Tribolium castaneum: one gene and its partner. The protein of the gene in region 2 purifies or fractionates together with the protein of the main gene of each other region. This does not show direct contact. Links are inferred from orthologs where the notes say so. Each region holds a gene or a part of one and is shown on either strand. Other genes may lie near its edges.

Region 1 (10,872 bases), on a different chromosome or scaffold from region 2:
TTTTTTCAATTTTTTTGGAATTGTTAATTAATTAGACAAGTTGTAATTCCAGACTGATTTTTTTAATTAGCGTGTTTCTTGACGAAACTTAATTCTTATAGGTGTAGGAGGCATAAAAAAGCCAATATAAATAAGAAAATCAAAAAAATCCCAGGTTCGAATCCCGCTGAGAACTTTTTTTTTCAATAACTGTGTCTACAACAAATCCAAGTGCTTTACTATCGGTGTTTTATATCAATTTCAATCAAAATTATTATTATAACAACTCAAACTTTTACTTTTTTTACCTGTTTAAAAAATTTTTTTTTTGGAATTGTTAATTAATTGGACAAGTTCGTATTCCAGTCTGTTTTTTTAATTAGGTTGTTTCTTGATAAAATTTAATTCTCATGAGTGTTGGAGGCAAAAAGAAACTAATAAAATACAAAAACAAAAATCACAGGTTCAAACCCTGTGCTGAGAACTTTTTTTAATAACTGTGACTATTAGCTGTTTCAAAACAATAAAAACGCCAACGTCGCATTTTTTCTCAAAATTAGCTGTTATAAATTAATAATGCACTTCAAAAAAATAATAGCTTATGTAATTTACACTTTCAATCACACACCAAACCATTAATAACTATTTTACAATTTTATCAATCTTATTTGAAAAAATTATTTGGTAAAATGCGACGTTGGCCTTTTTATAGTTTTGAAACAGCTTATACAACTAATTTCAAGTGCTTTATTATCGCTAACAACTCAGACATTTACTTTTTTACGTGTTTTTTTTTTTGGAATTGTTAGTCAATTGGACAAGTTGAAATTCCAATCTGATTTTTTATTAGTTTGTTTATTTATAAAAAAATCTCACGAGTGTTGGAGGCAAAAAGAAGCCAATATAAATCAGAAACTCTAAAAATCGCAGGTTCGAATCCTGCTGAAAACCTTTTTTTTTCCATAACCATTCCACTTTTAACCAAAATTAATTCTGTAACCCACCTTGTGATTCCTCCTCTGTCCCCAATCCCTTCGGCAACGGCATATTTCCCCCTGTCATCAAGACCAAAAAAAACTTTTTCGCTTTAGTTGAATTCGGAAAATCAACAACAACCCCGCCATAAAACCCCGCTTTCATTGCTTGTGCCGTAACCAACTCCATTTGTTCGCTATTTTCGGGATAAAACTGAAAAACGGCCCGTGCTGACCGGCTCTAGAACCCCAACATGACAAAAAACCTCTCACAATTAACCAAACACAAACCAGACACGCATAAAGACTGCTAAAAAACTTGTAAATCCTTTGAACGGGATTGTGCGACTTTTTATCAGCATTGCACAACCACTGCAACGCGCTTATGCTAATCGCGCCATCGAACGACCCGGCCCGAAAGGGGCACCCTTGCCCCATGTCTGACAACAAAACGTCCCCCTCGACCTCCCTTTCAAGGGCCACATCTAACATGGCCTTGGATATGTCCATACCGACCCAGAAGTGCCCCTGATCCTCAAGGACGCTCCCGCTAAGCCCCGACCCGCAACCTATATCAAGCAAATAACACGGCTGGTCTTCAGGCAACAAAAGGAGCTCAACTGCACGCTCACTCATCTGCATTTGAATATCAATAATTCGAGAACTAAAACGAGTCACAATGAGTAAAAATTGCAAAAAAGCGGCCGTTTCTATACTTTTGAGTGTACTTCCGGGCCTCATCTTCGTTGTAAAACTAAAAGTTAGGTTAGGTTTAGGGTCAGAATTGGGGGCGTACTTACGATTTCGGGTGGCGCCAAGTGCTCAGGACGCGACATTGGTGTTTATTTAGGACCAAAACAATAACAACACATGTGCTATCTTAGGATTAAAAAGTAATCAGAATTGAGGTTAGTTAGGGTGAAAATGACCACTAGGGAATTTGTCTGTTTTAATTTCACGAACTCCGACCCGAACGTTTGTGTAGTAATTACAATCTGCCATCTATTGTGTTACTCATGGTATTTTGGGTGATAGTAATTGAATAGCGTTCAATTCCATTCGTCTAAATAAATTAGAAACGCAAAAATAGTTTTATGTTGGTACGGCTGCCCCTCCACCTTGCCCACCAACGGTTTGTTTTGGCGCTTTGGAGGTTATGATGCCCCATTGTCGGATTTCAAATTGTGTTTAAAATGTACGTTGAGAATTTAAAATTGGATTTTTACGAATTTCTCACAGGCAAAGTAAGTCCCCCTTTTAATTGTCGCCCACTTAGCTGCCCCTTTTAGCGCATTTTGTTAATGGTCCACTACGACATCGACAGCATTTGTGCGTGTAAAATCCTCCAAAACCTCCTAAAGTACAAGGAGATTCTCTACACCCTTGCCGTAATCCGAGGCGTCGAGGACCTGAAGCGCTCGTATCGTGAAAACAGCAACGACGTTAAATATTTCGTCTTGATTAATTGTGGGGGCACTGTGAACCTAGTCGACTTGTTCGAGCCGGAAGAAGACGCGATTTTTTTCATCATCGACTCGCACAGGCCCACACATTTGGATAACATTTACAGTGACGGGCAGGTCCGGTTGTTGTGGACCTCAGAGGAGGACTTAGAAGTGCCCGACTTTCACGCAGTTTATCGTGACGATGTCAGTGGCCCCCTTCTTACGGTCGATTTTTTTATCGTGTGATTACAGAGCGATGAAGAAAGCGACGAAGAACCCGAAAGTGGGGACGAAGATGAGGGAAGAGCTGCCAAAAAACGGAGATTGAACGAAGAAGCGATTCTAAAACGACGCGAACGCAGGCTTTGGGAAGCGAAACGTTTCGATATCATTGCGGAATACTCGCAATACACGTACTACAACAAGGCTGTAAGTTTTTAGTCGATTTTGAAATTAAGTTGGTGACACTGATTTTTTCTCCAGAGCGCGATCGCGATGTTTAAACTCGCGTGGTTTTTGAATAAGGACGATAAGGACTTGCTTTGGTTGGCAATCGTGGCGCTGACAGAACAGTACATTTTAGGCAAAATTGAAAATTCGCAATATGTTCTTGCAGTTGGGGAATTACAGTCGCATTCAAACCGATTAAGGAACAGATCGAATGATACCGACGGTTTAACTTCACTTAGAATCACATATGAGAACGATTTGAAATTAGTTCTGTACAGACATTGGTCGGTTGAGTCTAGTCTTAAGTATTCAATGTTTACGGCGTGCAAATTGAAGTTGTGGTCGCATAGAGGGAGCAAGAAATTGTACGAGTTGCTGGCCGATATGGGGTAAGTAGCCGTTGATTTTTATTTATTTTTTAAACACCCTGTATATTGTGGCTTATGAGTCTTTGGATGAATCAATTGTGAAGCTATTTTTTAATGAAATTATTATTTACTCGTATAATTTCCACGGCGTTGACAGGCTCAGCTCAATTCAGCTTGCGTTTTTTTTAAGATAAACTTTGTCAGATAGGGTTTGATTGCTTGAAATACTCTGTATAAAGGAGTGTCGAGTGATTGTATTTTTTTGGACGTATTGAAGTTTAAATCAATTTGTTTGTGCAAAATTTTATTTTTTACTTAAAAAAAAATATTTAAAAAGTATACAGTGAACCTACTAAAAGTTTATTTTTACTGTATTTAAAAACTAAAAACTAATTATTATTCTTATTAGAAATTATTATTAGAAAAGTTAGTTGCAAAGCGTTTGTTTATTTCACCTAAAAAGAAACTAAAAAACTTCATTGAAACTAAAAAAAAAATTGAAAGTTTTTTCTTTATCTCTAAGGTGACCAAAGCGAGTTTATCTCAGTTAACAAGTTTAAAGTGCATTACAGGTGTGCTCTGTATACCGGGTGTTCTAAAACCGGCGCACCAACTCAGTGGTGTGTGAGACATAAGGAATTGCTTACATACAGGGTATATCAGAAATACGTGTTAATTTTACCACGTAATAAAACTCATGAAATACAGCAATACTGCAACTTAAGAAAACTCATCAAGTACAACAACTTTTCTATATCACATTTTACAAAATTCTTATTTACAATTTTCACTGTTTTCCTCTTTTCTTTAGTGCAAACGAGCCGGTCAGTGTTTAATAATTAGTTTGTATTCATAGCAGTAATTTTCATTGTTTTAAATTGTTTAAATTGTCCGTTTTTATTACAACGAAAATAGTTCGGCTCTTAAGTAAATTTGTGAATTTTTTATTGAAAATTTACAAATGAAAAGATGTTTTATTTGTTGAGTTCTGTTACCCGTTAAAATTAAGACACATATTTCTGATATACCCTGTATAAAGGTAAAAATAGTAATTTTAAATAAATGCTATGTGCCAACGTTGTCAAAAATTCTTTTCTTGTAATTCTTTGTAATAAATATTAAATAAAATATAAAATCACTATTAATTAATAATTAAAATTTTGTCATTTCTTTTACAAAAAGTATACCTAAAAATTTACTGGCCCCAAAAATAACAATTATTTTATTTTTTATTTTTTTGGGATTAACGATGTTTTTTTACACAAAACGACACTAATGCTGATTAATTCAGTTAACTAATAATTATTAATAATTGGAATAAAATTTACCGACGTTAGGACAGCTTCCATAAAAGGTTTTAATTAAAACGTCGAGTTGCAACGTTTCGTTTATATGTATAATAAACTTCATCAGGCTTAAATTATACATAAAACTACAATATCACCACAATTGATTACAAACCTTTTAATATTAATAATAAATAATAAATAGTTACTAAGTAAACGAGTTATTAAATGAACATTTAAATTTAAATTAAACCAGTTAAGAAATATTTGATTTCGGACAATTTCTTTTATTTAAGAAACATAAAATAATATAAGAAATTAAAGTTAAAAGATCGTCTTACTACCAGCTTTCAAGTCAATGATCTTCCGTAGAAACTAGTATGAAATGGTGATTTGTAGGATGCGAAATTGTGTATTATTTGTTCCATTCCACTTCACTAAATCATAAAAAAGTGTCATCAAATGGTAGTGACATATTTTTAATTTTCTTCACATTTTTTATGTAATTAAAATCTGCGACGATCGTATATTTGTTTAATTGAAAATAACTTTAACATAGCTTATTTTGATAATTTCACATTTTTTACTTTAATAACCGTTCACAAAATTTCTAGTTTATTTACACCTTCTATGTAAAATAATTTTTCCATGACCAACTACTTTTAAATATTTTAAATTTATTTTTTATCAAAAGTATGTAAAAGTATCAAACTGTATTTATATTGTTTTAAGTTCAGAAAAACATAAGCTTTTCGAAAATGTCAGCCAACTATGATTTCTATTTAAAAACATACAATTTTAAGTTATTACAGCTAAACGAAAGGTTTACAAAAATCGCTGATAACATTATTAGATTCTCTGTGCCTGTATAATGTTTTTGCTTTAAATGTGTATCTTTTATAATAAGGAAGATATGATTTTTAAAGATTTCACTAAAATGTCAACTTTTGTTTATAAATTGAAAACAAAAGACGATAGCGGGATTCGGTTTTTACCAAAATTATTTTCTCAAAAAACGGACCCGAGAATGTGTCAATATTTTTTCTCTAAACTTCTTAGTTTCGGAGATACCACATCCGAAATGCCGCACCTTGTACATAATATTTAAAATTATTTTTACTTAAAAAAATCAAGGATGTGCCAAAAAGGTAAGACATACTTAATAAGTCAAACGGCTTATAAATTATGTTTAATTTTATTTATAAAGCTCATGCTTATACTTTTCAATGATTCTCCCTTAAAAAAGATCCAAGGTGGGTGGCGGCAACAAGGTGGGCTCATTCTCAACTTGCAGGTTGCCCTTATCGCAGAGCCAGCAGGCGTTCGAATCAATGGATCTCCAACTACGTAAAGAATTCCACCAAAGTATTGAAAAATTATCGGAAAAATACAACTTAGAAGATTTAGTTTTTACCTCATTTGTGTTACAATATGGCTACCGGAATAAATATTGTGCGTCTGACATTGTGTACGCCATGTTTGCAATTTTGGAGTCATCGGTGATTTATCATTTTGATAATTCTCTCACATAAATAGCTGTTTTTAGCCGAAGGAAACGCCAGAAGAGTGTTTTAATTCGGCACTTGATTGCCTCACTCGTAATAAAAAAGACGTAGTACAAAAAGCAATAGAACGTGCAAAGATAATCACAAAGACGATTTTTAAGACTGTACAAGCGGCCATTGATATGAAACAAATTATCACAGCCGGGAATTTTGTTTATTACATCATACAAGAAGTGAGTTGAATTGTTAGTCAAGTTGTTTGATTTTAATTTTTGTTTTATAGGGTTGTTTAGACTGGTATATGTTTTCAAACCAATATATTTTGTTATTGTTGGCACAATTTATATTACGGGCTTATGTGTCAATGTCACGGAATCGTAAAGCCCCTGACTTGCCTTTAATTATTTCAGCACCAAAAAATCTAGATTTAGGGACGTGTGTTATTTTGGGGATTCCACCGCTGAGGCAAAATTCACCCAAAAAGTAACTAAACTAAACGTACAGCCGCCCAAAAAGAAAATGACGCGACCATAAACCAATCCCATCATAAATCCTTTAATTTGCTGTTTAATATGTTTTTTAAAGTAAAAGGTTTTGTTGCAAAATAATTGATTTATCGCGGAAAGAAAAAAATTAAGAAAGGATTGAGTTCGAAAATCTTAAAGCAAAGTTTTAAAGCTTCAAGTTTTCTTAAAGTTATAATTTTTCATTTCCAAAAAATTTGTGGCAATTCAATTTAAAAAAGAGATTATTTTTTGTGGGTTCGCTTTTTTGAATTCAACAACTTATAAAAATTAAACAGATACAAAATGCAGTGACAATTTAACTACTTAAATAATTTATGAATTGGAAATGGTATTGTAAATAAAATGAAATAATAATTGGGCATTTAGAACCGGTTAACTTTACAGAAAGCGAAATTAAAACTTAATTCGGAATAAAACTAATTCGACATTAAGTTGCCACTGAAAATAGATTGACAAATGTAAAGTTAATCTCAGAAAAATTTTTATTGCAATTAAAATGTTCTGTAAACCGACTCTTGAACTTATTTTGCATTAATGAACTAATAATTTAAATTTGCAAACAAATCGACAATTTTTCTGCCCTCTTAAAGGGTCAAAACGTCGTGACAAACTTGATTTTTTTTAATCTTTCATTTGTTTTAAAAAAAATTATAAATGGTTATCAGTTTGAAGAAGAATTGGAAAAATTTGGTCTTAAGTTATCTCTTGTGGTGACTGTGGTCTTGTGTAGGTGTTGTTAAATATTTCCAGTGAACCTTATTTGCAGTAATGGTCAAAATTTTAATCATGGTATTTCCATAAATGAAATACTTTAATGTTCATTGATAACTTTTTTATTCTGGTTACACTAATTGAAACATTTAATAAACAAAAATTTTAATAAAACCTTTTTTGTGGTTAATAATTAAAACGATTAAAAGTACAGACATCTTTACGTGAAATTTGAAATACAATTGTATTACTATAATTTTGTTTTCTATTTTGTTTTATGAACAATTTATGGACAGTTTTATGGATATTTTTCAACTTTTAATACAGTTAGAGCTTTAAAATTTTGTATATCATTTAAATCGACCATTCTGAGTTCAACTAAATTGGTTTCAAAATGCCAAAATGCTTTCGGAACTACAAAAAATTGACGCCAAGTTTGAAATTTTTAAATAGTAACCACACATTCTTATTGCATATCTGAATTCACCTTCTCAAGCTGAGTAAAATTTACCCAAGTTGTTGGTACTTACCTGTTATAGTTTTCGATATATGTCAATTTTTTTGTTAAAATTTTTATTTGCAAGAGTTTATCTAAGAAATCACATCCCTTGAACCCTTTGCGATAAAGTGAATAATTTTTTTGCAATTGATAACCGAAGGTTTGCAGAGCTTTCTAGAATTTTCGAAATTGTCAACTGTCAAAATTCATGGCTAGTATGATTTTTCAAAATGGTTCTCAAAAAACTGCTATTAACTCTGTTTTTTCAACTCGAACGACCCCCTTTTTTTAATGGCAATCGAAAGAATATCCATATTTATGGTGACTTTTATCAACCCGTCCTATACCTATTTCATACAGTTTTTGAAAAAAATCCCAAAAACGGATTTTACTTTTTAATTTTCATAGTTAATCAAGTAGACCAGTAAAATGGTCAATAATTGTCAAACTTCAATATTTTATTTAGTTTTTAGCTGGTTCATTATCCAATAAGCAACAAAACTGAAAAGTAACTCAGTCAGTCTGCCATCGGATTTGGAACTTCTTGAACGAAAATGGTGAACAAATCGAACATTTGTTTTAATTAATAGCACAATTTTGTCGTATTTTTCGAAAGTTTACTTGATTAAACATGAAAATAATGAGCTAAAATTCAGTTTTTTGCGATTATTTCAAAAACTGTAAGACATAGATATAGAAGATGTTAATAAAAGTCTGCATAACAATTGATGTTTTTTTTGACTGCCATCAATCATTTCATTAAAAAAACTCTTTTATAATCATTTTTTAATCATCTTTTTTAAAAAATCATATTAGCCTTGCAATTTGACAGTTGGTAATCCTAAAGACTTAAAAAGACTCTTTAAACTTTTGGCTATCAAATGCAAGATTATTCACTTATTGTAAAGGGTTCACGAGCTGTAATATTTTAAATGAACCCCCGCAAATGAAAATTTGTATAAAAAAATTGACATACGTCAAAAACTATGACAGATAAGTACTAACAACTGGGTACATGTTACTCAGTTTCAAGAAGCGAATTCAAAAATGCAATAAAAATAGGTGGTTACTATTTCAAATTTCAAAGTTGGCGCCAATTTCTTGTAGTTCCGGAAATTTTGTCATTTTGAAAATAATTTTGTTGAACTCATAATGGTCGATTGATTTAGATTGTATACAAAATCTTAAAGCTCTAGCTATATTAGAAGTTAAAAAGTTTATAATGTCGGCCCCAAAAGAATCAGCCTGTATAATTTGTAGCAGTGAGATTTTATAAATAATAATTATTTTTTAATTTAAAATATTTTTTGGACAACCGATAGCAAAGTGATCTTTCAGTCTTTAATGAAAATACTACACCGACAACAAAAAGAAATGATCTTTTTTTTAATTGTCACTTATTTTATTTTGCAACAAAAACTTTAATGAAATAAATAAATCTTCAATTTTTTTCATTAATTCGCAAAGAAATAAGGTTTTTTATGGACGCGTCGTTTTCTTTTTAGGCAGCTGTACAATTTGGTGATTTTATTTTTATATTGTGATTTTAGTAATTTAGGCCGGGCCTTTGAGGAAGCAGCTGAAAATATAAATTATGAAGTCTTGTCGGATTATTTTGACACTTCTTGTAAGTTAATTTTTTTGTTTGTTTGTCGAAAGTAGTGGATTTTTTCAGATTTTGAGATTAATATCAAGGACAGGACGAGGTTTTTTGACGCATTGACTGCACTTTTCGACAAATAAAATAGTGTAAATAATTTTTTTTATTTATTTTTCAATTGTATATAATTGTGTGAATTGACACTATTTTATAGGTAATTAAATGCTACAAAACAACAAACTGTACACTTTTGATTAACTCATCTACACTGCTACACCTTACACCACCTAACTCTGTTCCTCTCCCACTCGTTCGTTCAATTCGATGAATTTCACTTCGCCTTTTTGGAAGCGCTCGACGAAGTCGCTGACGGAGTCGACGGTGATTTCCACGCCGTACTCCATGACGGCGAAGCGTCGGTTGGGGATGTCGATGCCAACGAGGAGGGGCACCACGTCATCGAGACCGATCAAGTCGCGGAGAATGTCGCTGGTTTCGGAGTCGAGCCCGATGAGGAACTGGAGGTAGTGGTCGTCCTCGCAGTTGGAGAAGAAGTCCTCAGGGGCTGAGTTGAAGTTGATGTTGTGCTTCTTGTAGTAGGAGTCGGCGGCTGGGGACAGGACCGATTCTGCGAACTGGAGTTCGGTCTCTTCGCCGTCTGGGAAATAAAAGTTTGTAAAAAGATAAAAATAATTGTTAAAAAATTACTGTTCTTAACATACGAGTGAACATTATATACAGGATGAATCTTTTAGGGCCTACATTACAAATTTTTTAACTTCTAATATAGCTGGAGTTTAAAAATTTTGCATACGATCCAATCTGAGTTCAACTAAATATTTCCGAAGTAGTTGAGCTTTCTCATCTACAAAAAATGGCGCCAAGTTTAAAATTTTAAATAGTAACCACACATTTTTATTGCATACTTGAATTTACCCTCTCAAGCTGAGTAAAATTTACCCAAGTTGTTTGTACTTACTTATCTGTTATAGTTTTTGACATATATGTAAATTTTTTTGTTAACATTTTTTTTGCAAATGTTTATCTCAAATATCACAGCCCTTGAACCCTTTGCGATAAGTGAAGGTCTGAAGAGTCTTCTAGATTTTTCAAAATTGTCGACTGTCAAAATTCATGGCTAGTAGGATCTTTCCACAATGGTTATCAAAAAACTGCTATATCTTAATTTTTCAAATGGCACGTCCTGACTGTGACTTTTATCAATGCGTCCGATACCTATGTCTTACCGTTTTTGAAAAAATCACAAAAAACGGATTTTAGTTGGTAATTTTCATAGTTAATCAAGTAGACCTTGCAAAATGGTCAACAATTGTCAAACTTCAATATCTTATTTAGTTTTTAGGTGAGGTTCATTATCGAATAAGTAGTAAAATTATAATATTTAATTATAGTTTATTATAACTTAGTGCTGTAAAGTAACTCGCTTAGTCTGCCATTGAATTTTGAACTGTTTGAATGAAAATCGTAAACAAATTGGATATTTTTTTTTAGTTAATAGCACAATTTT
Region 2 (12,617 bases):
TAAATCAATAATTTTGTTTTTAAAATTGTGTAATTTTAATGAATTACTAAAGTTGTGTTCCGAGCTCAAGGTTTTTCAAAAATCTCTTCGGCCAAATTCGGAAAATCGTCGTAGTAAGCTCGGAACACAATGTAAATCAATTATTAAAAAAAACACTGATTGAAAAATAATATTATTAAATTAGAAGTCATTTTTAGAGCATAATCTTTTATACAAAAAAATTGCTGCAATAAAGTGCCTTAAAAAAAATTAAATAAGTAACCTTCAAAATAAATACAATAACATCTAAGGGTGCGCTAAAAGTATCCCGAAAAAAATTGAGAACAATTTATTATCTTAGGGGTTTATACAGGGTGAGTCAATAATGAGTTATTTCTGAATTTTTGTTAATATGCAACCAATAATACTGATTCCAGCTGACCAGATCGGTACTCATTTAAAAATTTCAAAATTTATCCCCAATTACATTGTTCTGAAGATAAAAAACCAATGTTGATTCAATTGATGTTTTTAAAAATTAGTCATTTGTCATTTGTTTCAAAAAACTTCTTGTACTCTCCATTAAAAAAGCAATATTATTTAACAATAACTGTTACTACTGTTTGGGTGCTTAAGTAAAATCAAAAAGCCCTTTATTATCAACTGTTTTCCAATTAAAATAAAATACTAGAAAAAAATAGTCTACCAATGATAACACTTGGTAAGTTATTCTCGTTTGTTTTTTTCCAAAATTATGGAGTAAAACTTAAAAAGGGGCAAATTATTAAAAAACTTATTAGTACTTAACTTTTATTAAAAAAAATAGGTACACTCAATCGATAATATAATTGGGATGAACCACCAACATGGCATCCTCCTCCTCCTGCTGATCCCTCCCAAGCCCCGTCCTCGTCAAGGGAATAATAACTTGATCCTAAAACCACCAATCACAACCACATTACCCCAAACCACCCAACTCACGTGATAAATCAACCGGTCTATAACTTTCTCAATCAACTCCTTCTTCTCCAACAACTCCTCCTCGGACTCAATATCCTCCGCAATCAGATTCAAGTACCACTCCACCAAATCACTCCTCCTGATCCCCTCCTCGTTCTCCTCATCCCTCCTCGCCTCCTCCCGTCGCATAAACACCACGATCTTGTTACTCAAAACTTTGTAATCCTCGAAACTCAGCTGCAACTTCTTCCTGATTGGTTGCGGCTCAGTTTCCTGAGTCATGGTTTCCGAGTCGTCCTCTACCATTGGCGCATTTGCGTCTTCGTCGAGGTGTATATCGGGTTGTTCCACCCTGATGATGGATTTATTAAGTAGGCGGTACGCCTCCTTGACGTGTTTTGGTTGGACTTCGTCGGAAATCTCCATCTTGGCCATGGCTTCCGCCAATCGGATCATACTTTCAAGTTGGCGTACTGTAATCCGCCAAGTTGATTTACCACTAGTTGTGGTGTCCCTCAACCTCAAATGGTTGTAGTGCCTCACAAGCAACTCCGCAGCCTCGGGACTTATGATTGGCTTAAACCTCCGCACGAACGAAATATACTGCAAAACCTCCTCTTTTGAGTAAATCCGGTCGAGGGCCTCCTCCACATTACTGTGCAAATCCACAATCTTCCGCGCAATAGCATAATCAATCACCTCATTACACTCATCAACTAGGATAAAAAACAAATCAAATCGGGACATGATTGGCGCACTTAGCGCGATGTTCTGTTGGAGCGACTTGGCGCGATCGTAGCGCCCTCCAATGGGATTGGCTGCAGCTAGGATGGAGGTGCGGGCGTTAAGCGTGGCCCGCACTCCGGCTTTGGCCAATGAGATCGTTTGCTGTTCCATGGCTTCGTGGATCGCGATCTGGTCACGTGGGTCCATTTTGTCGAATTCGTCAATACAGCAAACGCCATTATCGGCAAGCATTAGAGCGCCAGCTTCGATCACAAAATCGGAGGATTCTTCATCGCGCACCACAGCGGCTGTGAGACCTGCAGCCGAGGAGGCTTTGCCCGAAGTGTAGACAGAACGAGGGGAAAATTCCGAAACTTGTTTCAGAAATTGCGATTTGGCAGTGCTGGGGTCGCCCACTATGCAGCAGTTGATGTCGCCCCGAAGGGTTGTCCCTTAATTTATTATTAACAGTGATTATTTTTTATTAAAATAATAGAAATCCGAACAAGTGCACAAACAGAACAGCACAAAAACAGTTTTTTTTTTGGAACTAGAGCTGTACAGGGTGTCAAAAATATCACAGCCGCCTATGATTTCTATTTAAAAAATGTATATCTTTTATAATAAAGAAGATATGATTTTTTTTTAATTGAAATCTTAAAAAGTTCATGTCTTTCTTATTATGAAAGATACACATATGAAACACAGACATTATGCAGGCACTTTTTTACAGAAAATTTAATAATGCTGTCAGCGATTTTTTTAACCATTCGTTTAGCTAGAATAACATAACGTTTAATTTTTTAAATAGGAATCATAGGCGGCTGTGATATTTTTGAAAAGCTTATCTTTTTCTGATTAAATACGTCTATTTGTGTAACACATTATTTTTAAATATTTAAGAAAAAACAAAACATTTCGTTTTCTCTTTATAGTAGGCCATGAAAAAATTTTGGATTTTCAATTAAAACAAGTATTTATAATTTAATGATTTTTTAAATCCTAATTAATTTAAAAAAATATTTGTAATTAATAAAAATTATTTGTTGTTAGATTTAAAATGGCAAGCTTATATTGTCATTCTATTTTCTAATTAAACATGAAATGTCGGAAAAAGAAAAATCTCATTAATTATATAACTGCCTGTTAATAAAATTTTATTTTACCAAAAATGTCAATACAAACCCTAAAATCAAATCCCATCTGCGGTAAAAAAACACTAAACCACAAAAAAGTGTCAACAAACGGTAGTGACACATCGTTTTCAATTTTCTGCACTTTTTTATGTAATTAAAATCTGCGATGATCGTATATTTGTTTAATTGAAATTAACTTTAACATAGCTTATTTTGATAATTTCACATGTTTTACTTTAATAAGCGTCCACAAAATTTCTAGATTATTCACACCTTTTGTGTGAAATAATTTTTCCATGGCCAACTACTTGCAAATATTTTAAATATAATTTTTATCGAAAATATATAAAAATATTAAACTATATTTATATTGTTTCCAGTTCAGGAGAAAATAAGCTTTTCGAAAATGTCATAGCCAACTATGATTCTCATTTAAAAAAATACTTTATGTTATTACAGCTAAACGAGTGATTAAAAAAAAGCGCTGATAACATTATGTCACTCATTTTTTTTGTAAACCTCTTTAGTTAGGACGTAGAAAATGCACCACCCTGTGTAAGGTGAGTCTACACCATATCATCATATTGCAGCGTAATTAATTTTCCATCGTTTGGCATATTAATATCATTTTTTACTCAACTAGAAATATTTATTTTTGCGCGGACCAAAAAACTTGGGACACCCTGTATATTTGTTTCTTTGGTGATTAGTTTCCACCTATTACACATTTACTTTTTGTAAAGATGCATTAACGGACATTATTAAGTAACCTATCAAATATTCTAGAATATCGTTAAAAATATTTAAAGCCAAAAAATTTCGTGACATAATATTTCCAGAAAGCACAAATAGAATTTTGTCTCAATACACTACAAATGATAGAATTCTCCTTAGAGGTGGTTCTGTAATAGTGTATTTTTCAGAATAACGAAATTACGAACTGTTGACTGAAATTATTTGCTTCAGAAATGAATTTCAGCGATTCAAAAATACGTTACATGACGTAATCGTAATAAAGATCAATGAATCAGTTTGTTTCCCACTTTGTAACAATTCTTATATCACAGATTTTTTTTGTAACGTTGTATCCATATTTTTATACAATTATTATTGTGCCGTTTAATCTTATTCAGTTTGTTACTTGATGTCGTGGCATGCAGACGCCTCATAACATAAATAAAGAATTTTGCGGTTTAAAAATTTCAAAATCGTTGAAAAGTGCGTGCCGATTTCGGTTAGTGTGTGCTAATGAAATAGAATACTGCAATAGTATTTTTAGAAAAGTTAAAGTTAAATAAATGTCAACTTAATTCAAATTAGTTTAATTCAGAATTATAATTATTTCGTTTTCTCATTTTTGCGTTTATTTTGTTTTTAATTTATTTTTAATGTCTTGCTACAAACTGCAACAGAAAAAGATGCTACAAAGGTAAGTGTATTTTTTTTTGTTATTTACCGTTAAGTGAGAAAAATTGATTTTTGTGTTGTATTTGATTTCAAAACCAATAATTCCTCTATTCGTTACATTTTCTAATAAACATTTTTTACCTCATTCTTATTTAGTTCATTATTATATCAATTTGACAAATTTAGAGCAGTCTTTATATTAGATGTATTGCTGGTTGCATTTACAGGCGCAAAAATATGTATTTATTTAAGATGCAACGTGATATTTGTAACACAACCACTTTCCTTACAGGAATAACTGCAGTCTAGCATTCATTTAATAACTGGTCTTTTTTTTTATTGATTTTATTTCACATATTAGCGAAATGTTAAGTAAAAATGTTACAAAATCTTGCAAAAATGCTGTAAAATTTAATTTTCAACTTATTTTTTTATTTAACATATTATTCAATAAGAATCGTTGATATTTAAAAAAAAATCCAATTTTTTCACAATAATCTGTCTTTTTTAATAATTGGTCCTTTTCTGTTGATAGAAACAAAAAGAACAAGTTTTAATTTTGTACTTGTTGACAACAGTTTCTGCGACTTCTTTTATTTTTTAAGGACTGTTGCCCTTAATAAAAAAATCCTCAACTTATGCAAAAATAATCTGTGAAATGAGTTGTTTCGACTTGTTTTGTTCCTAGTTTTTTGCATTCAGAACAACAGAAATAGTAAATGTTATTTAATTTTTTTCAGAATTTTCTAGCAAAAGAAATAACACTTAGCGTCCATAAGATATAAAGACAAGTCAGATTAGAACAAAGTTAGCAATAAACCAACCTTCAACTGTCGTCTTGGAAACTCCCCCAAACAGCATCAAAAGTATCCCCCTTTTGACCTCCTCATTCCCGTGAATACTCGGAAATAAACTATTGATGAGATTCTGATACAAATTCCTGTCGTGGCTCATCTCATACATGTGATTCCACTCGCCCTCTGTCATCTGCTGTCGCATAATTTCGGGAGTAATCTCATTAAGAGGCATCTCAATACCCCCAAATTTGGGGTTAGTGGGCTGAACACTACACGCGAGAAACGCCATTCTGTAATGAAGATCACGCACTCCTAGGGCTTTGAGACCCCTAACCCCTTCAGTATCGTCACCACCCTTGTGACGCGAGTTGATCTGAGCCTTCGCCCCAGGAAGAGCCAAAGCCCCCACGTCCGGGACCACGATGAGAGTCCCCGTGAAGTCATAACGATCGCCGGCCTTTTTCAATCATTTGTTTAGTAACATGAAATTAAGTTGGCTACAATGACTGACATGACCATCAATGTAGCCAACTTATTTTTTGGTGAAAAATTGTTACCTGGACTGTTTCCACATTTTCGGCTCTTAAAATCACCTCAACACACCTCGGAATGCACCCCCTTGGCAACTCGGCTTGAGTTTCCTGTATCCGGACTTTCTGGAAGTCCACAAATAGGGACTTGTCCACATCTAGCATAAAGCGTCTCCTGTTATTGCAAACAGGGTTGCGACAAATCGTCGGATTAGTAAACTGTGAATTTAGATTAATAAACAGCTCTTAAAACAAAAACAAAAAAATCTACCTTAAATTGTTGCTCAACATCTTTAATGACAGTTTGGCAATCCAAACAGACGAAAGTCCCCAAAATCAGTTCAGGGTGTACAGGGTGAGTCCTGATAACCTGTCCTGAGATCCGAATCAAAGTCCCAACTTTCTCAGTTTTCAATTCTCGTACTTTGTGTCTTGTTGGAACATCAACAAAGCTGATATAACACTCTTTATCTTTTTTCAAATCGCTGCGGTCTTTAACGAAATTAGAGACGGCTTGGCAAAGATAAGGGTAAATCCGGTAATACTCCTCGATAACGGTCGTTGCAAGATTTTGGTTATATTTCTCTAAATCTTCAAAACTGACTTCAATAGTGCTGCGCTCTTGGTTGAGGAGCTCCTTAGCCGGCTCCAAATACTTGATTTCGCCGTCCTCTTTAAATCTGGGGGCGCCTCATGTGTGATAATACCAATTGGGGGGTTGGTAAGGGGGTACTTACTCTTCTAAGAAATCCTGGAATAATTTCTGGCACCTGACACCGATTTCATCCTGGTGTTGCCTCTGGCCGACCTGGACGTTGGCTACATCCATGTTTTAGCGATTTAGAACGAAAAATTCGGGAAAAACAGAGTAAACAATAACGCAAAAAAGGCGGGAAAGTGACTACGAACATAACCATACATTTTTACCCGCCAGACGGGTATCTCTGTTACCGATGGAAGTAACTAACAAAGCGGCCTCTAGCGAAATGTTTTTCAAACTACCAAATTAGCGGAAAATTTAACTTATGGTCTGAAACCGCCACTCTATCATAAATATTCAAGAATTTCGAACGGTAATTATCTATTTAGATTACATTTCTTTCTCTCAGTTTGCACTAATTTATCAATCACGAAGGAAAAAAACGCTTATTAAAAAAATGAAAATGGGAAACTTTTTTTTGCTTTTTTTTTATAAAATCTAGAGCAAAATCAGATATCGCTTACAATAATCTATTTTTTCGTCAAAATTCAAAGCTGTTCTGGATTTTGATCATAAAGACAAAAGTCGTATAGCAAAACGGTTTGATTCAGTGAATTCTACGGCTGGTTTTATGTATTCTACCAGCTTTTCACAATATTTTGAAATTTTCTGCTTAAAATTTAATAATCGAGGCACTTACCTTTTCAAAAATTAAAAAAAATTAACTCACTAGCAAAATTTTATAAACTTTTCTATGCCTTTACATAACCCACGGAGTTGTTGAAAGTACAAAAAAGTCAATAGGTTCGATATTTTAAAGTTTTTTTCCCATTTTTTCGAGATTTTTGTCGGAAAACGAAAATATTTTTCATGTAGTAACTTTCGAACTATTCGAGATAACCTTATGGAAGTTTATTAGCGTTGGAAAGCTCTTACAATTATCTATCTTTTAAAAAAAAAACATTGTTCTTTGGCTAATAATTTTCAAGAAAATTCCAAATAAAGGCAGAAATAGATAAAATTAAAAAAATTATAACTCTAAAAAACTAGTGGTAATTTTGCGATTTTCTCAAAGCCAATTGCTTTGATTTTTCTTATAAACACCATTTTTAACATTTGTATTTGTGAAAAGTTTTTTTTATTCCTGATTACAACGATGTATTACATAATATGAATGAATCTTACATGATAATTAAAATTAAGAAAAAAGCGTTTTTGCAAAGAGTGCTTTGGAAAAAACGTCAAGAATGATGTTTAACAAACTATATTTTGACAGTTCTATCAAACATGCGAGCAAAGTATTTATAACTTTAGGAGTAAAATTGTAGCTTATCATGTCTTAGTTTTTAAATAAGTAAGCTTGGCGGAAATGTGAAACTTTCAGATCCAAATTGAATTAAACCTCTAAAATCTAGTTAGCTTAAAAACAAAATTGTTGACGTCTTCCCCAAAGCACTCTTCGCAAAAAAGCTTTTTTTCTCCATTTTGATCACCATGTAAAATTCGATCATATCATGTGATACATCGTTGTAATCAGAAATAAAAAGACTTTTCAAAAATACAAAAATCGAATATACCTTTCCAAGAAAAACCAAAGTTGAGTGTTTGAAACGCAGTCAGGAAGAACGCCTTGGAACTTCCTATTTAAAAACGTCTAGTTTTTAGCTTTCCCTTGAAAAAATTAAAATTAAAAATTTCTGTTTTGTTTAATTATAAAAAAATTAATAATAATTATAAACCTCGTATTCTTATAATAACAGATGGAGGTCGAAAAACGGACACTCTGTATAAATAATTAAAACAGGCACGTTTTGGTAAACCTTTATTTAATAAACTTTACACTGAGTTACATTAAAAATGTTAACAAATCCTATTGTAAATAATTATTAAACATAGTCCTCGTGTTATTGTTATTTATTGATACAACATTGCTCGAACAACATACAAATATATCTGAACCTTAATTTTGATTGTCTACTTACAAACAACGTTGATAATTTTATTAATATTACGTCAACAACTCACTAGACCCATAAATATGTGACATTGTGCGATATGGAGGGTTTAGGTATCACATTCATGAATCTAAGTATAATTTAATATTTTTTTAAGTAGTAAGTTTTTAGTAAATCATTTAGGATGCGTGTGCGTCACACGGCGCCAATTTCAAATATAGTTTGATTAGTTTGATTGTCTTAATTGTTTGATTACAGGGTGGAACAAAATTGATGATGTAGGAATCCCTCAGTGTGATCTATTTTCGCCTAATTGCTTAGTTCAAACAGTTAGTCTTCGAATATACCCTGCCATGACTTACTAAATAAACCTAACATTCATCAAACGACTATTTTCACTTCGCACTTTATATAAAAATGTTTGTTTTTTCAACTACCTAACACTAAATATACACTTAAGAAGTCCGATTTTTCACCGTCGAAAGTGATCTAATTGACAAGACTGAGCGCTCAAATCGGCGATGAACTGCGGGACTTCTTATGACCATTGAGCTGATATTCATTTAACACAGATTCTAAACAAACTGACAAAGAGCGAAAGGGACTTTGAGCTTTTGACGGGTGTGTTCAGTCTTTTTTTTTTGATATTTCGGTGGCAATGGGTCGAAAAGTCGGGGTCGGCAGAAAGTTTCTCATTTCAAAGCGACAGGGACGGTTAAGTTTTGAAGGTGGTTTGGGTCGTCGAAGGAGTTCATTAGTTCTTCATTTTCTTTGCGAACTGAAACAAGCATTTGGCAAAGTCATAAAAAATATTGTCAACAAGGTGTTAAATTTGCTGGGTGTAATGCATACGTAACTGTAACGAACGACCAATAAATATTAAAATATTGCATAAGGAAGGATGTTTCATAAACAAGGTACTATTTCGGTTCCGATAAAATATAAAAATTGTGAATTATGGATTTGAGCAAAACATTCCCCACATATTTTCATTTTTTTGTTTCAAAACTTTAACTACAGGGTGAGTCAATAGTAGGTTACTTCTGATGTGTCCTAAGATGCAACCAAAAATACTAATTGCACTTACCACTTGGAATTAATTAAATCGTCACTAGTTTCTTTTTTTTAATAATAATAATCCATAATGAAATTTTAGCAAAACTGTCAGGACAAACTTAAAACTACCTAGAACAATGTAATTTTAGATCAAATTTATTTTTTTTAACGACTATCGATCTGGACAGTTGAAATCGGTATTAATGATTGCATATTTATAGGAGTTAAAAAAAACACTATTGACTCACACTGTATATTTGATCATAACTGAAATAAATAAGTAGCATATGGTAAAAAATCAGTTAGTAGTACTTTTTCAAGTGTATACATTGGTAAAACTTTAGAATTTTTTCAAGCGCACTTCCATAGCAGTTTGGAACCGATATAAATTGTTAAAATAAATACTTACGTTAAATTGCATTATTTTAGTGAAATCAGAGTGATTTATTTATTTTACTTTTACGACACCTGTGTTTTTTTAAAGTTAAATATATTTTTTTCAAGGATAAATTGCTTTCAAGATAGCGCATATATTTAAAAATACGTTACCGACAATAACAATTAGATCCCAGTTTTGAGAATGAATTAGAGGAGATTAAAAATATATTTTTTTTATTTTTCTGTCACGCTGATAAATTGTCACTTATTTAAATCTAGACAAATACTGAATATTGAACTTGGAACAGACATTAACTCAAAAGAAACAAATTATTACTTTAGGTTTTTCTTTTAGATAATTTTTTATAGTAAATTTCCAATATAAGCGAAATAAATTCAAGTGTGGAAAAAACTTGACGGATTCAAATTAATGTTGCAATTTTTCATTAAGATTAATTTTTAAAAACACAAAAAAAATTTTAGATAAAAAATTTTGGAATTTTTTTCAAATAAACTAAAAGCGCCAATTGGAAGAGAAGGAATTTGTGACAAATTTTTTGAGATTGTCAGCCAAATTTCCAAAATAATTAACTCACAACATGGAATTTATATTATAAGTAATATTTATCAAAAACAAATTTTCCTTCGAGTAATAATTTAAAAAAAAAGATTATTTTTTGAGGTAAAACAAAACTATAATTTAAAAAAATAAATAATACACAAAATACAGTTATTCAAAGCAATTTTGATCATTTACTTCAGATAAATTCTAATTTTTGCAAAGAAAATATAAAATTAAGTACTAATTATGATAACTTTGCATTACATAATACTATAAAAATTAAAAAACAAAACTACTCGAACAATAAAGAAAGCAAATACAAAAATTTCAAAAGGTGTCACCTGTCAAATTTCAAGGCTACTATGATTTTTTGAAAATGATAATTAAAAAATAGTTATAAAACAGTTTTTTTAAATGAAAGGGCTTTGTTTTTTCGATGACAATTAAAAGAACATCAATTTTTATGCTGACTCTTGTTAACATCTTCTATATCTACCGCTTACAGTATTTAAAATAATCGCAAAAAACAGAAATTTGGCTCATTATTTTCATTTTTAATCAAGCAAACTTTTGAAAAATACGATAAAATTGTGCTATTAATTAAAAGAAATATACTTTTTGTTCACAATTTTTATTCAAGAAGTTCAAAATTCGATGACAGACTGACTGAGTTACTGTACATAATTCACTTAGTTATAATAAACCATAATTAAATATTCTTGTTACTTGTTACTGCTTATTCAATACTAAACCAGCTAAAAACTAAATAAAATATTGAAGTTTGACAATTATTAATCATTTTACAAGGTCTACTTGATTACCTATAAAAATTACGAAGTAAAATTCGTTTTTTGTGATTTTTTTCAAAAACTGTAAGAGATAGGTATAGAACGTGTTGATAAAAGTCACCATAAATATCAATATTCTTTCGATTGCCGTCAAGAAAATAAGGTCGTTCCATTAGAAAAAACTGATTATAGCAGTTTTTTGAAAGCCATTTTGAAAAAATCATCCTAGCCATGAATTTTGACAGCTGACAATTATGAAAATTTTAGAAAACTTTTCAAACTTTCGGTTATCGAATGCAAAAAAATATTCACTTATTGCAAAAGGTCCAAGGGCTGTGATATTTTAGATAAACCCTTGCAAATAAAAATTTAAAAAAACTGACACCAACAAGAGGTAAATTTTACTCAGCTTGAAAAGGTGAATTCAAATATGCAATAAAAATGTGTGGTTACTATTTAAAATTTTTGTAGTTCTGAAAGCTCGGCCATTTTGAAAATATTTTAGTTTAACTCAAAATGGTCGATTTAGATCGTTAACAAAATTTTAGAGCTCTAGTTGCATTAGAAGTTAATAACTTAATCACCCTGTAGTGTCGTGTATTTTCGACGTAAAATCGCTGGGATGAATAAATTTATACTCGATTTGCTGTAATGCAGCTTTAATTATTTTTCCACAATTTTTCCGAATTTTAATTTAAACAAAACATGTTTTATAAACCTCCCAAACAAAAAAATATTATTGAAACCTCTCATAAACATTCCTTTCAAACCCATCCGCCGCTAATTCTGTTTGTATAAACCTCCGCCACCGTCCAAAATTAGTTCCCCAAATCCAAACAAACCGCTAATCCCCTAGCTTTCCGATCATCTCCAGATGCCCACCCCCAGATACGTACAATTCCTCCCCGTCTCCGGCCTGTGTGTCAGCGTCACAATCACCACCAAGACGCACGAAAACAGGATAAAAAGAAACGTCCCCGCCACCACATAAACCGTCAACTTCCGTTTCCGCTCGCGCGCTTTTTGCTCGGGCGTCATCCATTTTTGGGGGCGGGAGGCCCGCCGCCGCCGGCTGGAGGCGGCACTGCTCCTGCGACTGCTTTTGCGGCGGGCGTGCTCGTAACCGCTGATTTGGCAGCTGTTGCGGTGGGGTCGGGGAGGGGGGTTGTGCTGGAGGGTGTCGAGGGAGTGCGACCGAAGGGGTTTGGGGTCGTCGATGAGGAGGTTGATCTCGGGGAAGTCGAGAGATGGGACCTGGTGGGTCGACATGGCGGGAGCGACTGGAGGTTTTGAGGAGTTGAGGCGGAGAATTGGGGGCTATTTATAGATGGGGGGATTGGGAGGAGTATGGCTTTGGTGAAAAATTAATAAGGGGAATGTGGTTTAAAGTTTGTTCATTATTATTTTAAGGTGTTTCTTGGTGTAATTAGGCGACAGAACGCCACAGGTTTAGTTATTTTAAAGTAAAAAAAAATTAATTATATTTCTAGAGCTTTTTTCAAAAATAAGTCCGACTGATAGAAATAAATTTTGACTGGAGTTTTGAGAGTTCGTAAAAAAATAATTCCTGCTTGGGGGGCCTAAGATTCCCAAAAAACATTTACACTTTAGCACATATCTCTTTCATGTTCATGTTCATGAAA

Evidence for each region.
Region 1: the proteins of Mcm6 (region 2) and Cdc45 purify together in Drosophila melanogaster (affinity purification with western blotting; 3 studies listed by BioGRID, with this or other methods). This does not show direct contact. The link is inferred for Tribolium castaneum from reciprocal best matches to the Drosophila melanogaster genes Mcm6 and Cdc45.

What each region holds. Positions count from the first base shown.
Region 1 is NC_087401.1:7,771,898-7,782,769, reverse strand, and holds Cdc45 (cell division control protein 45 homolog), read left to right. Parts: upstream 1-2,001; 5' UTR 2,002-2,146; coding exon 2,147-2,197; intron 2,198-2,242; coding exon 2,243-2,602; intron 2,603-2,650; coding exon 2,651-2,827; intron 2,828-2,881; coding exon 2,882-3,237; intron 3,238-5,796; coding exon 5,797-6,001; intron 6,002-6,048; coding exon 6,049-6,240; intron 6,241-6,290; coding exon 6,291-6,490; intron 6,491-9,294; coding exon 9,295-9,371; intron 9,372-9,419; coding exon 9,420-9,487; 3' UTR 9,488-9,584; downstream 9,585-10,872. Other genes in the region: probable 18S rRNA (guanine-N(7))-methyltransferase, read right to left, coding at 984-1,194, 1,245-1,617, 1,670-1,707, 1,754-1,789; nucleoredoxin, read right to left, coding at 9,632-10,002.
Region 2 is NC_087400.1:6,011,584-6,024,200, forward strand, and holds the start of Mcm6 (DNA replication licensing factor Mcm6), read right to left. Parts: upstream 6,474-12,617; 5' UTR 6,365-6,473; coding exon 6,273-6,364; intron 6,216-6,272; coding exon 5,807-6,215; intron 5,755-5,806; coding exon 5,563-5,754; intron 5,463-5,562; coding exon 5,033-5,462; intron 2,118-5,032; coding exon 961-2,117; intron 914-960; coding exon 812-913; 3' UTR 1-811. Other genes in the region: uncharacterized protein LOC103313261, read right to left, coding at 8,883-8,968. UniProt on the Drosophila melanogaster protein: Acts as a component of the Mcm2-7 complex (Mcm complex) which is the putative replicative helicase essential for 'once per cell cycle' DNA replication initiation and elongation in eukaryotic cells.